Linked DNA regions of Sus scrofa. The protein of the gene in region 1 purifies or fractionates together with the protein of each later gene. This does not show direct contact. Links are inferred from orthologs where the notes say so. Each region holds a gene or a part of one and is shown in the gene's direction. Other genes may lie near its edges.

What was found.
Region 2: the proteins of NFKBIB (region 1) and POLR1E purify together in Homo sapiens (affinity purification with mass spectrometry; 3 studies listed by BioGRID and IntAct, counting the BioPlex papers as one, with this or other methods). This does not show direct contact. The link is inferred for Sus scrofa from reciprocal best matches to the Homo sapiens genes NFKBIB and POLR1E.

What each region holds. Positions count from the first base shown.
Region 1 is NC_010448.4:47,702,471-47,706,563, forward strand, and holds the start of NFKBIB (NF-kappa-B inhibitor beta), read left to right. Parts: upstream 1-1,173; 5' UTR 1,174-1,270; coding exon 1,271-1,449; intron 1,450-4,093. Other genes in the region: SIRT2 (NAD-dependent protein deacetylase sirtuin-2), read right to left, coding at 815-830. UniProt on the Homo sapiens protein: Inhibits NF-kappa-B by complexing with and trapping it in the cytoplasm.
Region 2 is NC_010443.5:238,211,063-238,214,711, forward strand, and holds part of POLR1E (DNA-directed RNA polymerase I subunit RPA49), read left to right. Parts: coding exon 1-74; intron 75-995; coding exon 996-1,092; intron 1,093-3,416; coding exon 3,417-3,550; intron 3,551-3,649. UniProt on the Homo sapiens protein: Component of RNA polymerase I (Pol I), a DNA-dependent RNA polymerase which synthesizes ribosomal RNA precursors using the four ribonucleoside triphosphates as substrates.

The sequences.
Region 1 (4,093 bases):
AGGTGAAGGGAGTGGTTAAGGGGGAAGGAAGGGCTTCAAATTAGTGGGGCAGAGGGATCAAGAAAACTCACCAACCTGGTCATACCGGGTGGGGTGGGGGTGTAAAATGGAAGTGGAGGAGGGCGGCAATGGGGAAAAGCGGACCTTATCAGTGTGCAGACGGCTGGGAGGAGAGGTTAGCGAGGGACAAAGAGGCCGGGACAGGAAGGTTTAGGCGAGGGAAGAGAAAGTAAAGCACGCCCGGCATGGAGGAAGACTTAGGAGGAGTTAGGAAGGGTGTAGTAGTGTGAGAGTGTGTGTCATTAGGTTTACAAGCAGTGGGAAGCCATAGAAAGGAGAGAAGACATACTCTGCCTGTTGGCAGGTTTGGGAGAAGAGGTGCAGAGTGTGTGTGTGTGTGTGGTGTGTGTGTGTGTGTGTGTCGGGCAGGGTGGGGTTGGTTTCGGAGAAAAAGGAAGCAATAGGAGGGGACCCTGGCATCCTACAGTTGCTACTAACAACCAGGTACCCTTAGCAACCAGGACCGCGGCATCTTAAGTCCCTAGCAACGAGGGTCCTTGGCAACTAAGGTGCGAGAAACATGTGATCATTAGTAACTTGGGGGAAGTGGCAAACGGACCCTTAAAACCTAGCGACCCAGAAAGCCACCAATCTAGCAATATGGATCACTTGGCAACTGCCCCCGGAATCCCATTTTCCCCCCCATGCAACCCCCATCTCCTGCCCCACCAAGCCTGCCCTCGGGCCCCGGGGCCTACGACCCTCAGCTAGGCCCCGGTGCAGCCCTGCCCTCCCACCGGGGTCCCCGACTCACGATCCGGCTCGGCCATGGGCGCGGGGCGGGGGCCCTCGGGACTGTCACCGACTGCTCTGTCCCGTGACGGCACCGGAAACAGGAGGGGGCCGAGACAAGGCAGAGAACTACAACTCCCAGCAGCCATCGCGATCGCATATAATGCTCTGCACCGCGTACGGAGCGCGCCCCCACGCAAAGGCCGGACTACGAGTCCCAGAGGGCTCCACGTCCACAGCCATGCTGGTAAAGGACTCCGGGAAAGTGTGGGAAAAGGTAGAACGCCGTAGTCCACCTGAGTGCTCTGATTGGTCATCATGTGGCATGGGGGCGGGGCGTGTACTACTTAGCCCACCCTGATTGGATGAGTCAGGGGGGCGTGTTGGGGAATTCCCCGCAGGGCGGAAGCTCGAGAATTCCAGGCAGAGCCCAGCGACAGGCGGGCTGCCGCTGGGGGCCCCTGAGGCTTCGGGGGCCATGGCTGGGGTTGCGTGCTTGGGGAAAGCTGCGGACACCGATGAATGGTGCGACAGCGGCTTGGGCTCTCTGGGTCCGGACGCAGCGGCCCCCGGAGGACCAGGCCTAGGCGCGGAGCTGGGTCCGGGACTATCGTGGGCGCCCCTCGTCTTCGGCTACGTCACTGAGGATGGCGACACGTGAGTGAACCTTAGACTGACAAATCGGGCCCCAGGGTCCCACATCTCCAATCCTGACTTCCCAACCTTTCAATCCTAAATCTGTCTTTTGATGCTTGACTTCCTGACCCCAAGACTGGCCTCTGATAAAACCAACTTCTTATCTAATTTTGATCCTAACCCAATAATGTCTGGCCTTCCTTTCTTGAACTGATTCTCAGAGTTATGCGTTCATTGATCAGACCCACATTCAGTGATCGATTCCACATCCAAAACTCGATTTGACCTTCCTGACCCCAGTCCTTAGCCCTCTGTTAGAACTGTAGTTCAGACAGGCTCCTCCTGACCTTTATCCTCCAAATATGATCTTTGGTCCTCAGCGCCTAACTTACATGAGCCTTAGATTTTATTTCGAAATTAATACTTGGCTTTTGACTCCAGGATCCCACCTTCTGAACTCTGATCTTCAAAGCTTACATTCAAAGAGAAAATGGAAACTACATAACAGCAGGAATTCATCTATTAAACAAATAATCCAACACCTTCGACTTTCCAGGAACTGTTTTAGGTGTGGCCTAAAGGCAGGGAGGAAAGCCCAAAAAACATTTGTCTTGTGGAGCATACATTCTAGTGGGGGTATATAGACAGAAGGGCAGATAGACTGACAGGGAGGGAGGAAGGGTAGGAGGAAGAAAAAGGAAAGAAAAGGAGAGAGAAGGAAAGAGAAAAAAAGATACACAGACCTAAAGTAAGAAAGGGAGAGAAAGAAGAAAGGCAGGAAGAAACGAAGACAAAAATTAAAAAAAAAAAGAAAAATAGCATGTCAGACGTTAAGAAGTTCTTTGGAGAAAAATAAAGCAGGGAAGTGAGACAAGTAGATTATCTGGGGAGAACATTGCACATAGAGGGAAAAACAGTTGTAAAGGCCCAATTGAGGGAATGTACCTGGGGTTTTTGAGTATCGTGTTTACCGCTGTATCCCCAGTGACCCAGCAGCCCCTGACCCATAGGAGGCACTCAGGAAACAGTGATCTTCTCAAACAACCAGCTGTGGTTTCATTTATTTTCTCTTTTTCTCTCTTTTTGCTTTCTATTTTGTTGATCTCTGTTCTGACTTATTTACTTTCTTCTCTTATTTGGGGTTTAATTTCTTCTTTTTCTCGTTTTTTAAGATGGAAGCTGAGGTCATTGATTTGAGACTCTTTTTTTTTTTTTTTTTTACGCATATAAGTGATTCATGCTGTAAATTTCCCGGAGTAGTGCTTTAGCAGTATCTCACCAATTCTGATGTGCTGTGTCGTTTTTTGTCATTTTGTTTTGTTTTGCTTTTAAGGCCTACCTGCGACATACGGAAGTTCCCAGGCTGGGGTCAAATCGAAGATGCAGCTGCCGGCCTACACCGCAGCCACCGCAATGTGGGATCTGAGCCCTATGTGCGACTTAGACCACAGCTTATGGCAGTGCCAGATCTTTAACCCAGTGATCCGGGCCAGGGATTGACCACATCCTCATGGATACTGGTTGTGTTCGTTAACCACTGAGTCACAACAGGAATTCCATGATGTGTAGTGTTTTTATTTAATGCAATATACTTTCTAATTTCTTTTTTGATTTCTTCTTTGGTCATCGGATTCTTCAGAAGTATGTTATTCAGTTTCCATATCACAGGCATCTTTCTTTCATTGGCTTTTAGTTTAATTCTGTTGGGGATGGAGAGCCTAGCATGACTTGAATCCTTTCAGACTTTTTGAGACTTGTTTTAGGGCCAAGAATATAATGTGTGCATTTGAAAGAATGTGTATTCTGCTCTGGTTGGGTGTAGTGTTCTCCGAGTGTCAGTGTTTCCCTGGTTCTTTTGTTGCTCAAGTCTAGATTTCTACTTGTTCTGTCAATTATTGAGAGCCGGGTATTGAAATCTTCAACAATAATTGTGGATTCGTGGCTTTCCTTGTTGTGCTATCAGATTTTGCTTTGTGTAATTTGATGCTCTATTATTAGGGGCACAAATATTTAGGATTATTAAGTCCTCTTGTTTCACTGACCTCTTTGTCGTTATGAAATAACCTTCTCTAGCCCTGGTAATGCTTCTTGCTCTGAAATCTACTCTGATATTAAAATACTTACTTCTGTTTTCTTTTGAATGACTGGTGTTACCATGGAATATCTTTTTATACCCTTTAATTTTAACCTATTTTAAAATTTATATTTCAAGAGTGTTACAGGCAGCATATAGTGGGTTTTGCTTTTTTTTTTTTTTTTTTGGCTGTGCCTGTGGAAGTTCCCGAGCCAGCAACTCAACTCGAGCCACAGCAGTGTGGCACAATGACAGTGCTGGATCCTGAATCTGCTGCACCACAAGAGAACTCGAGGTTTACTTTTTTATTCATTCTGACAGTTTCTGTCTTTTAATTGCAGTGTTTAGACTGTTTGCATTTAACTTAATTATTGAAATGGTTATGTTTATCTTGTTTTTAGCTTTTTTGCTTATCTCTTTTACCTTTTTCCTCTTTTTCTGCCTTTTAGAATGAGCAAATTTTGTTCCATTGTGTTTCTTTTGTTGGCTTATTAGCTCTAACTCTTTGTTTTTTATTTTCGTGGTTGCTCTGAAAGACCAATAGTTGGCAAACTGGTTTCCAGACAAAGTCCAGCCAGCTACCTGCTTTTG
Region 2 (3,649 bases), on another chromosome or scaffold:
AGATGACTCTCTCTACCTCCCTCCCTGCCATGCCGACGCAGCCAAGCCTGAAGACGTGTATAAATTTGAAGACCGTATCCTTCTTGCGGGGGAAAAGTGCCGCCTCGTTTCCAAGTGGGGATCTGCACAGAGGAGTGGCATGGCTGGACTCTCTGAGGGTGTCCATGGTCCTGCAATGCTCCCGGAAGCTATCCCCAAACCCTTGTGGTTGCCCCAGTGCCGTTGCTGGGACGTCCTCACCAGCTGAAGGATCTGCTGTAGCACCAACCTCTTACTTAGCCTTTGAGATTCAAACCCATCCCTCAGCACAAAGCAGAATGCCCCCAGCTCAGCTCTGTGGGAAGGTCATTTTCTGTGAGGAGTCAAAATACAACTTTTAAGTTGGCCAGTGCTGAAAGTCCGGGGCAGACTGGTTTTGTAAATAGAAGGGTTGGAACGTAGAGTTTCCACACTTGTGGTTGTAGTTGGATGGAAAATGCCCGCAGTGGATCTGTGATAAGAGAAGGCAGAAAAGCCCAGACAGGGAATGAGTATTAGGGAGCACTGAGTCCCTGAGCTCTGCCCAGATATACGGTGTGATCGTTCCCTCTCTGAGCCTCAGTTTGCCAATTTCTTTTCTTTCTTTCTTTTTTTTTTTTTTTTTTTTTTTTTGTCTTTTGCCTTTTCTAGGACTGCCCCCTCGGCATATGGAGGTTCCCAGGCTAGGGGTCTAATTGGAGCTGCAGCCCGCCGGCCTACACCAGAGCCACAGCAACACGGGATCCGAGCCGTGTGTACGACCTACACCACAGCTCATGGCAACGCCAGATCCTTAACCCACTGAGCAAGGGCAGGGATTGAACCCGCAACTTCATGGCTCCTAGTCGGATTCATTAACCACTTTGCCACGACGGGAACTCCCCATGTTCGCCAATTTCTAAATAGGCCACTACAAGATGATCTAGCTAGTTGGATGTTTCCATCTCGGTCAGGTTGTTTTCTTGACCTATAACTGGTTCTTTCCCCTGCGGAGTATGACGCTCTTCAGAGCCCGTCTGAAGCTTTCAGGAACGTCACATCAGAACAAATACTGAAGATGATCGAAGAGAACAGGTACCCCACTTGGGTGGCTGGAGTGTCTGGGGAGTGATCTTGGGACACAACAGTAGTCAGACATGAAGCGGACCTTGGGTGTCGGTCAGTAAGGATGTATGCCTGTTCAGCATTTGAACACAAACGAGCTTGAATGTTTGGGCTTCCGGGCCTATTGTCGGTGTTCAAGGGGTGAGCTGCTTCGGTGTGGCTGGGCAGAGGGTGGTAAGGCTTGTAGCCTGGGTCTGGGTACTGGAGCTGACCTGTGTCCCTCCCCTAGTGTCATGCTGATGCAAATTGTTACAGGAGAGGCCCAGGTGCTGGCTTGGGAATAGGTGCCTGCAGAAGGGATGGTACATCTGTGGTGATGTGTTGCGTGAGCTTTTCTAAAGTTAAATTAGTGTATTTTAGGAGTTCCCGTCATGGCGCAGTGGTTAACGAATCCGACTAGGAACCATGAGGTTGTGGGTTCGGTCCCTGCCCTTGCTCAGTGGGTTAGGATCCGGCATTGCCGTGAGCTGTGGTGTAGGTTGCAGACGCGGCTCGGATCCCACGTTGCTGTGGCTCTGGCGTAGGCCAGTGGCTACAGCTCCGATTAGACCCCTAGCCTGGAAACCTCCATATGCCACTGGAGCGGCCCAAGAAATAGCAAAAAAGACCAAAAAAAAAAAAAAAAAAAAATAGTGTATTTTAAATAATTCAGAGATTATTTCCTTTCCTTCCCCTATTTTTGGCCTTTAAAGTAGCTTTTCTTGGGAGTTCCTTGGTGGCCTAGCAATTAAGGATTTGGCGTTGTCCCTGCTATGGCTCGGGTTAAGTCCCTGGCCTGGGAACCTCTACATGCCATGGGCATGGCCAAACCCCCCTCCCCCTAGCTTTTCTTTTATGATGATAGTGGCGGGTTTTTTAACTCAAATTTTCTTTCTGTAATTTCATCTTGAGGAAATAAAAAGTTGTCAGCCCTAGATTGGTTGCCCAGATTTTGGGGAATTTTGGTCAGTGAATCCAAAGTCTAGAAAAATACATTTTTTCCTTCTCTCCAAAGATCCATTGCCAAACAAGAGCTCATTACTGGTTCTTTATTGTCTTAATGTGATTGAGGCACAGGGGCAGGTGAGGGAAAGAGTTCTGGGTTGGAAGTCTGGGAAACTGAATCCCCAAGCTCTGCCCGATGGACTAGGTGATCTTCCCCTCTCTGAGCCTGTTTTCCTCTCTGTAAAATGAGGCTGATATGAGACAGTTTTTTTGTTTTGTTTTTGTTTTGTTTTTTTTTGCAATTTTTTTGTCTCTTTCGGGCTGTACCTACAACATATGGAGGTTCCAGGCTAGGGGTCAAATTAGAGCTGTAGCTCCAGCCTATGCCACAGCAATGTGGGATCCCAGCCGAGTCTGCAACCTACATCATAGCTCACGGCAACGCTGGATCCTTAACCCACTGAGCGAGGCCAGGGATTGAACCCACGTCCTCATGGATGCTAGTCGGGTTCCTTAACTGCTGAGCCACGACGGGAACACCATATTTTTTTTTAGTTTTGTTTAGGGCCGCACCCAAGGCACATGGAACTTCCCGGGATAGGGGTTGTATTGGAGCTGCAGCTGGCAGCCACAGCCACAGCAGTGCCAGATCCTTAACCCACCGAGCAAGGCCAGGGATCAAACTTGCATCCTCATGGATACTAGTCAGATTCCTTACCACTGAGCCACAGCGGGAACTCCCATGAGATGATTTGAAGGGCCTTTTTTTGCTGTGAGTCCAAGATCCTGATAGTGGTAGAACAGTACATAAAAATAATAGCCAGCATCAACTGAGCTCTTATGTGTGCCAAGCATTGTTTAATTTAATCCACAAAAATCCACGGGATGAGGGTACTATCATTGGCCTTAAGTTACAGAAGAAACCAAGGCACCGAGATGTTCAGAAACTTGCTCAAGGCACTGCATGGCGGAGGAGGGATTCAGGAGTCACCCAAGTAGTTGAGAGCCAGTGCTCCAGACTGCCACATGCAGATTGGAAAGATGACGGCCCACCACCAGTGCAGTTTTAATGGAAACAGCCTCAGTCATTCATTTATGTGTTACCGATGGCTGCCTTTGTACTACGGTGGGGGTGACCATATCGCCCCCAAAATGTAAAGTACCTACTATCTGGACCTTTACTGTCCCTGCACTGAATCATGCTCCTCCTCATCTAAGGAGCTGGTGGGATGGATGGCCCTCGCTCAGTTGCTGACTGTGTGTGTATACTCGCGAGGTGTGAGATGTGCCTGCTGTTTTCATTGCGAAGGAGTAAATGGCTCCTGACAGAGCCAGTTTCACGTGTTCTCCTTTTCCCTCCCTTGTTGCAGTCACTGCTCCTTTGTCATTGAAGCGCTGAAGTCTTTGCCATCAAATCAGGAGAGCCGAGACCGCCAGGCCCGGTGCATCTGGTTTCTGGACACCCTCATCAAGTTTCGGGCACAGAAAGTGATTAAGCGGAAAAGTAAGTCCAACATAGACTTTTTATTCTAGTTATTTCCAGTCTGTTACTTGTCTATAATTCTTAGATCAGCTCTAGTGAGAGAAGAAAATGGACATGTCT